Linked DNA regions of Danio rerio. The protein of the gene in region 2 interacts with the protein of the main gene of each other region in a biochemical or structural test. Links are inferred from orthologs where the notes say so. Each region holds a gene or a part of one and is shown on either strand. Other genes may lie near its edges. The genes, in order: hspb1 and mapkapk5.

Region 1 (3,972 bases), about 71 Mb from region 2:
ATATTTTCAATTATTAAATATGTTAATATGGCAACATATTGCGCTCTTCAGACTTTACATGAATAAATCTGACAGAGACTCCTCCCCCTCCCCATCAGTCACTAATAAACTGTATTAAATACCTTAGTTATTACTACAGTAAACTGTGGTGTATTGTAGTATAAAGGGACTTTGACTATAGAGTTTGATTCAAAACACAGTATTTACTATGAATTACCATATTTAAACTTTAAATATATAATATTCTGTTCGTTTTGATTTAGTTTGATTTAATTCAGCTTGATCGCATTTTATTTATTTTATTTTGGTTTGGTTCGATTCAGATCAGTTTGATTCTGTTCAGTTCGGTTTGGTTTGGTTCGGTTTGATTGCATTTTATTTAAATTTATTTTATTCTATTTGATTTGATTTACTTTGATTTGATTCGATTTTATTTTGTTTTATTTGATTTGAATCAATTTGATTAGATTTAAATTAATTTGATTGAAAGGAATTCTGTTTGATATTGATTTGATTTGATTCTGTTTGGTTTGATTCATTTTGATTGCATTTTTAAAATTTTATTTTATTTTTATTTGGTTTGGTTCGATTCAGATCAGTTCCATTCAGTTTGGTTTGATAGCATTTTATTTAAATTTATTAGATTTGATTTAATTTGATTTAATTCGATTTTGTTTGATTTGATTCAGTTTGATTTTAATTAATTTGATTAAAATAATTCTGATTTCTGTTTTGATTTGATTGTATTTGATTTGATTTTGTTTGGTTTGGTTCGGTTTGATTTGATTTAGTTTGATTGCATTTAATTTATTGTACTTTATTTTATTTTTAGTTTTTTTGGTTTAATTTGGTTTGGTTCTATTCATTACAGTTTGGATTTGTTTGGTTCGGTCTGATTGCATTTTATTTAAATTTATTTGATTCTATTCTATTTGATTTGATTCAATTTTGTTTGATTTGATTCAGTTTGATTTGAATTAATTTGATTGAAATGAATTCTGTTTGTTTTGATTTGATTCTGTTTAATTTAATTTTGTTTGGTCTATTTGATTTGATTTAGATTGATTGCATTTTATTTATTTGTTTTGATTCAATTCGATTTTATTTTATTTGATTGATTTCGTTTGATTTATTTATTTTCTATTTGATTTACTTTCTGAAGTATTTCTAAAATCATTTGAATTATATTAAGTCTTATAGAGTATTTTACTACAATATGTTTATAAATCACCGCAGTATTTGCTGTAAAACACTATTCCAAGCTGTCCACATGAAAAAGTCATATATAAAGTAAAGAAATTAACACGTTAATTACGAGTCCCACCCTTCATTTCCTCTCATTGTAAAAGCATCAAATAGTGAGGTTAACTTTATCTTATGAATCAGATGTGCTGGACTTTTAATGATCCTCATATCAAGTCCATCACTGTGGCCGTCTGTCAGAAGGGTTGTCTAAACAAACAGAGCTAGTGTTGGTTACCTGCTGGGTCAGCCAGAGTTTACAGGATATCAAGAGCAAGAGTTCTTAAAGGGACAGCTCACCCACAAGTGAGGATCCCCTTATCATTTACTCACACTCAAATGGTTTTAAACTTTAATGAAATTCCTTATTCTGCTTTTACTAGATATTTTTTAAGATGGTATTCAGCTTAAAGTGACATTTAGAAGCTTAACTAGGTCAATTAGACATGTTGGGGTAATTAGGCAAGTTATTGTATACCAGAGGCTTCTTCAGTAGACAATTGAATGTGATGTGAATGCCAGTGTATGAGAATGAGTCAGTCTATGGAGACTCCACATCTATAAACTCCACATCTATAATCCTCTTAGTCTCTGCTGACATCATCTTCAGCAGCTCAAACACTCTAATGGCTAATGGACAGACGGCTGCTTCTCACTCAGGGCTGCTGTTTATGCTAATGAGGGAGAGAGGGTCACTAGTGGGCGGGGCTTTCCCACTCTGATGACAAGTACAAAGGCAGAATGTCGATCGAAGTGTTCCTGCAGACTGTTTTGATCAAGCCTGATTATAAAAATATAGAATTAATTCATTTGTACCATTATATTCACACACCTCTGCCACACAACTGAGTTTAAACTCCTTATTAAAGTGATGTTTGCATAATATCTCACTTTTAACTTGTCTCCTCTTCGTCTGCAGGCAAACATGAGGAGAGAAAGGATGAACACGGCTTCATTTCCAGATGCTTCACCAGGAAATACACGTAAGTACAGACATTCTCCAGACATGCACACTTCAAGCACACTAGATAGGGAGGATCAAGAGTCTGGGAGATTCCTGAGAAAATAGGAGATGAGGGCTCTTGACATTGATTTATGCATCACATTGCATAACATTTTATATCTTTAAATCTTTGTGATGCATAGCTTTTCTCTGCTATTTTTTTCTCTGCTATTTTTTCTTTTGAGCTATTTTTATCATTTATATATGTTATAATTATTTTATTTATAATTATATATATATATATATATATATATATATATATATATATATATATATATATATATATATATATATATATATATATATATATATATATATATATATATATATATATATATAAATATTTATTATATTGCAGCACATTTTATTATATCACATTATATTTCTCCAATCTATATTTTTATTATTCCAAGTATGACAAAAGTGAGCTGAAAGGGTTGTAATGTGCATACATGAATGTTTTAATATGTGAACATGATCTTTTCTTTAATACTGGAAACTCTGTCGTCTTTATATAATTGTGTTGTTTTTGTGTTTTGCTCCAGTCTGCCCCCTGGTGTGGACTCTGAGAAGATCAGCTCCTGTCTTTCTCCTGAAGGAGTCCTGACTGTTGAAGCTCCGCTTCCCAAACCTGCCATCCAGGCCCCAGAAGTTAACATCCCTGTCAACAAAACCACCGTCAGCACCACAAAATAAACCCTGAGCGCACGCGCGCACTGACACACACATACACACACATTACTCTTGATTTCTTCAAGATGTTAACTCTTGATGTTAATGTCTTCTGGGTGTTTGTTAACTGTATGAGAGGCTGGATTGCCATGTTGTATTCTCATCTCACTTTTATGTCACTCTTTTATCATTATCTTGTTTCTTATCCTCCTCTCTTTTATTTCTAAATAAAAAAAAATCACATTTAGGTACTCAACAGTGTCTTAAAATCATTCTTGATCATTAAAGAATAGGCAAACATGACACCTACTTTTCCATTTCTTTCCTTAAAAATATTTTTTAAAAAGTAACTTGTAATGATAAAAAGCAATGATTTTACTTTTTATGGTATTTTTAATAAAAAAATGATTTCAAAAGTTATGATTTACGGAAATTACGTTTTTCTATAACTTTTGCCCGTTTCTTCAATTTACTAACAAAAAAACACAATGAGACACCTTAAAGCACAGGTGTCAAACTCCGTTCCAAAAGGGCCGCATCTCTGCACAGTTTAGTTGCAACCCTAATTAAACACACCTGATCAAACTAATTGAGTCCTTCAGGCTTGTTTGAAACCTACAGGTAAGCGTGTTGGAGCAGGGTTGGAACTAAACTGTGCAAGGCTTCGGCCCTCCAGGAATTGAGTTTGACACAACTGCCTTAAAGACAAATTTTTTTTCCCACATATGCAGTTGAAGTCAGAATTATTCGTTCCCCTCTTTATTTTTTCCCCAATTTCTGTTTAACGGAGAGCAGATTTTTTTTCCAACACATTTCTAATTATAATAGTTTTAATAATTCTTTTCTAATAGCTGATTTATTTTCTTTGTCATGATGACAGTAAATAATATTTGACTAGATATTCTTCAAGACACTTCTATACAACTTAAAGTGGTATTTAAAGGCTTAACTAGGTTAACTAGGTAGATTAGGGTAATTAGGAAAGTCATTGTATAATGATAGATTGTTCTGTAGACTATTGTAAAATATATATAGCTTAAAGGGGCTAATAATAT
Region 2 (3,827 bases):
ATTTTGGCTAGAATAAAAGCAGTTATTAATTTTTTAACACTATTTTGAGGACATTATTTGCCCCTTTTAAGCTATATTTTTCTCGATAGTCTACAGAACAAACCATCATTATACAAAACATTTCCTAATTACCCTAACCTGCCTAGTTAACCTAATTAACCTAGTTGAGCCTTTAAATGTCACTTTAAGCTGTTTAGAAGTGTCTTGAAAAATATCTAGTCTAATATTATTTAATGTCATCATGACAGATAAAATAAATCAGTTATTAGAAATGAGTTATTAAAACTATAATGATTATATTAGAAATGTGTTGAAAAAATCTGCTCTCCGTTAAACAGAAATTGGGGGAAGAAACCGGGGGGCTAATAATTCTGACTTCATTTGCATATAATAAATATACACACATATATAATGTCAAAACAAGCTTTTATTTTGGATGTGGTTAATCGCAATCATTCTTGTACAGCACTAAACCATATATGGATATTGGCAATTCTAGAATTGAGGATAGGTTTGTGCATATCCAAAATAAACCTACTTCTAAAACACTACTTGTATGTGTATTTCCTTCATTCAGGCAGTTGTAGCAGGAATTCAACAGGCTCATGCAGAGCAGCTGGCCAACATGAGGATACAAGACCTCAATCTGAGTCTGAAACCCCTCAACTCCGTCAACAACCCCATTCTGAGAAAGAGAAAGCTGCTGGGGTAAACGTTCAGTTCATTCACATTATCTCCTGCCTTACTAACAGTGCTGTTTTTAACAGACTGTGCTTAAACCCTGCAGCACCAAACCCAATGACGAGCTGTTCATCAATGATCCAGAGAATGAGGTGGAGGACACCAATGTGGCTCTGGAAAAACTAAGGGATGTGATCGCACAGTGCATATTACCACAGGCTGGTATGTATAAACCCACTCATTGTGTAAACCAGGGGTGCCCAAACTTTTCCGTATGAAGGCCTAAATCCAAATATCATTGAGAGCTGTGGGCTGAAGGTGAATATATTAAACTACATTACACTAAAGTTGCCATGGGTAATTTCCTAATTTATTTCATAATATTTCAATATAAATGTAAAACATCACTTTAAATCATGTTAACTTATGCAGTATAACATTTAAAATGATAACTTATTGCAATAAGAAAAACTGCAACAGTTATAACACAGTGCAGTCCAACACTGAATACACTGGTCAAGCAGAATCTGCCTTTGACTTAATTTGCTGACTAAAGATAATCTGATTGATTTACACCATATAATCAAAGAAAACAAACAAACAAAGGCTACATTAGATTTGAATTGACAGTCTCGAAACCATCCCCATCATCTCTGTTTCTTCTCAGATGGGATGGTGGGCTAAATCAAAGGTTACCGTGGGCCAACTTTGGCCCGCAGGTCTTAGTTTGGGCATTACTGGTGTAAAAACACTCTTTTAGTGTTAATTTTGTTGTATATAGGCTAGTTTTTAACAGCAGATGGTGCTCTAGGCTAGTGTTTAACAGCAGATGGTGCTCTAGGCTAGTTTTTACCAGCAGATGGTGCTCTAGGCTAGTTTTTACCAGCAGATGGCGCTCTAGGATAGTTTTTAACAGCGCATGGCGCTTTAGGCAAGTTTTTAGCAGCAGGCAGCACTCTAGGCTAGTTTTTAACAGCAGATGGCGCTATAGGCTAGTTTTTAACAGCAGATTATGCTCTAGGCTAGTTTCCGACAGCAGACGGCGCTCTAGGCTAGTTTTTAATAGCAAATGGTGCTCCAGGCTAGTTTTTAGCAGCAGATGGCGCTATTGGCTAGTTTTTAGCAGCAGATAACGCTATTGGCTAGTTTTTAGCAGCAGATGGCGCTATTGGCTAGTTTTTACCAGCATATGGCGCTCTAGGCTAGTTTTTAGCAGCAGTTGGCGCTATTGGCTAGTTTGAAGCAGCAGATGGTGCTCTAGGCTAGTTTTTAACAGTAGATGGTGCTCTAGGCCAGTTCTTAACAGCAGACGGCGCTCTAGGCCAGTTCTTAACAGCAGATGTCGCTCTAGGCCAGTTCTTAACAGCAGATGTCGCTCTAGGCCAGTTCTTAACAGCAGATGTCGCTCTAGGCCAGTTCTTAACAGCAGATGGCGCTCCACGCTATTTTTAACTAAACAACAACTCATCCAGAAAAAGTTCTCAGTGTTGATTTGTAGCTTTCATTGAAAATGTCTGCAGGGATAAACTATAATGCTGTCCAAAAACCATGAAGCACATCATAGTTTGTCTCTTTTTTTATATGACCACAGGTGACAGTGATGACGAAAAGCTAAATGAAGTAATGCATGAAGCTTGGCGCTTGAATCGTGATTGCAAACTTCTCAGAGATGGATTGCATGGGTTATGTTGGGATGGTAAGTGTTTTGTGTCTGAGGTTTATTTTCTAGAAGCTATACTGTGCACTAGAATAGCATCCAGTACTTGCAAATTCATCTGTGTGACTGAACTGATTATTAAAATTTGGCAGTTTTAAACGAACACTCAATTGTTTTTGGAAGTAGGCTCAATTTACAGCTCTCCTATAGTTAAAAAAAAATTTTTTTTACCATTTTTTGAACCCACTAAGCCAATCTCCATGTCAGGTGGGAGCCCTTTTAGCTTAGCTTAGCATAGATTATTGAATCAGATTAGACCATTAGCTATGTGTTTATTTACAGCAAACAGAACTCTAGGCTAGGTTTTTACAGCAGGTGGTGCTCTAGGCTAGTTTTTAACAGCAGATGATGCTTTAGGCTACTTTAGGCTATTTTTTTTGGCAGGTGGAACTCTAAGCTAGTTTTGGTTGGTGTTTTACAGCAAATGGCATACTAGGCTAGTTTTTTATTACAGCAGATGGTACTCTAAGTTAGTTTAGGCTAGTTTTTTTACAGCAGACAGCACTACAGTCAAGTTTTTAACAGCTGATGGCACAATAGGTTAGTTTAGGCTAGTTTTTTAAAAGCAGACGAAGCTCTGGGCTAGTTTGGGCTAGCTTTTTGGCAGATCGAGTTCTAGGCTAGTTTAGGCTAGTATTTTACAGCAAATGGCACTCTAGGCTAGTTTTTTTTACAGCAGATGGCGCTCTAGGCTAGTTTTTAACTGCAGACGAAGCTCTAGGCTAGTTTTGGCTAGTTTTTTTTGGCAGATGGAGCCCTAGGCTAGTTTAGGCTAGTATTTTACAGCAAATGGCACTCAAGGCTAGTTTTTTAACAGCAGATGGTGCTCTAGGCTAGTTTAGGCTAGTGTTTTTACAGCAAACAGTGTTATAGGCTAGTTTTTATCAGCAGATATTGCTGTAGGCTAGTTTTTAACTGCAGACAAAGCTTTGGGCTAGTTTTGGCTAGTTTGTTTCGGCAGATGGAGCGCTAAGCTAGTTTAGGCTAGTTTTTTTTTACAGCAGACGGCACTACAGGCTAGTTTTTTAACAGCAGATGGCAGTCTAGACTAGTTTTTAACTGCAGACAAAGCTTTAGGCTAGTTTTGGTTAGTTTGTTTCGGCAGATGGAGCGCTAAGCTAGTTTAGGCTAGTTTTTTTTACAGCAGACGGCACTACAGGCTAGTTTTTTAACAGCAGATGGCAGTCTAGACTAGTTTTTAACTGCAGACAAAGCTTTAGGCTAGTTTTGGTTAGTTTGTTTCGGCAGATGGAGCGCTAAGCTAGTTTAGGCTAGTTTTTTACACAGCAGACGGCACTACAGGCTAGTTTTTTACAGCAGATGGTGCTCTAGGCTAGTTTAGGCTAGTTTTTTTTTTACAGCAGACGGCACTACAGGCTAGTTTTTTACAGCAGATGGTGCTCTAGGCTAGTTTAGGCTAGTGTTTTTA

What was found.
Region 1: of the proteins of mapkapk5 (region 2) and hspb1, one has a biochemical effect on the other in vitro, tested with the Homo sapiens proteins (4 studies listed by BioGRID and IntAct). The link is inferred for Danio rerio from reciprocal best matches to the Homo sapiens genes MAPKAPK5 and HSPB1.

The regions. Positions count from the first base shown.
Region 1 is NC_133180.1:4,128,418-4,132,389, reverse strand, and holds the end of hspb1 (heat shock protein beta-1), read left to right. Parts: intron 1-2,161; coding exon 2,162-2,225; intron 2,226-2,790; coding exon 2,791-2,941; 3' UTR 2,942-3,220; downstream 3,221-3,972. UniProt on the Homo sapiens protein: Small heat shock protein which functions as a molecular chaperone probably maintaining denatured proteins in a folding-competent state. Plays a role in stress resistance and actin organization.
Region 2 is NC_133180.1:75,578,416-75,582,242, reverse strand, and holds part of mapkapk5 (MAP kinase-activated protein kinase 5), read left to right. Parts: intron 1-577; coding exon 578-708; intron 709-787; coding exon 788-903; intron 904-2,272; coding exon 2,273-2,377; intron 2,378-3,827. UniProt on the Homo sapiens protein: Tumor suppressor serine/threonine-protein kinase involved in mTORC1 signaling and post-transcriptional regulation. Phosphorylates FOXO3, ERK3/MAPK6, ERK4/MAPK4, HSP27/HSPB1, p53/TP53 and RHEB.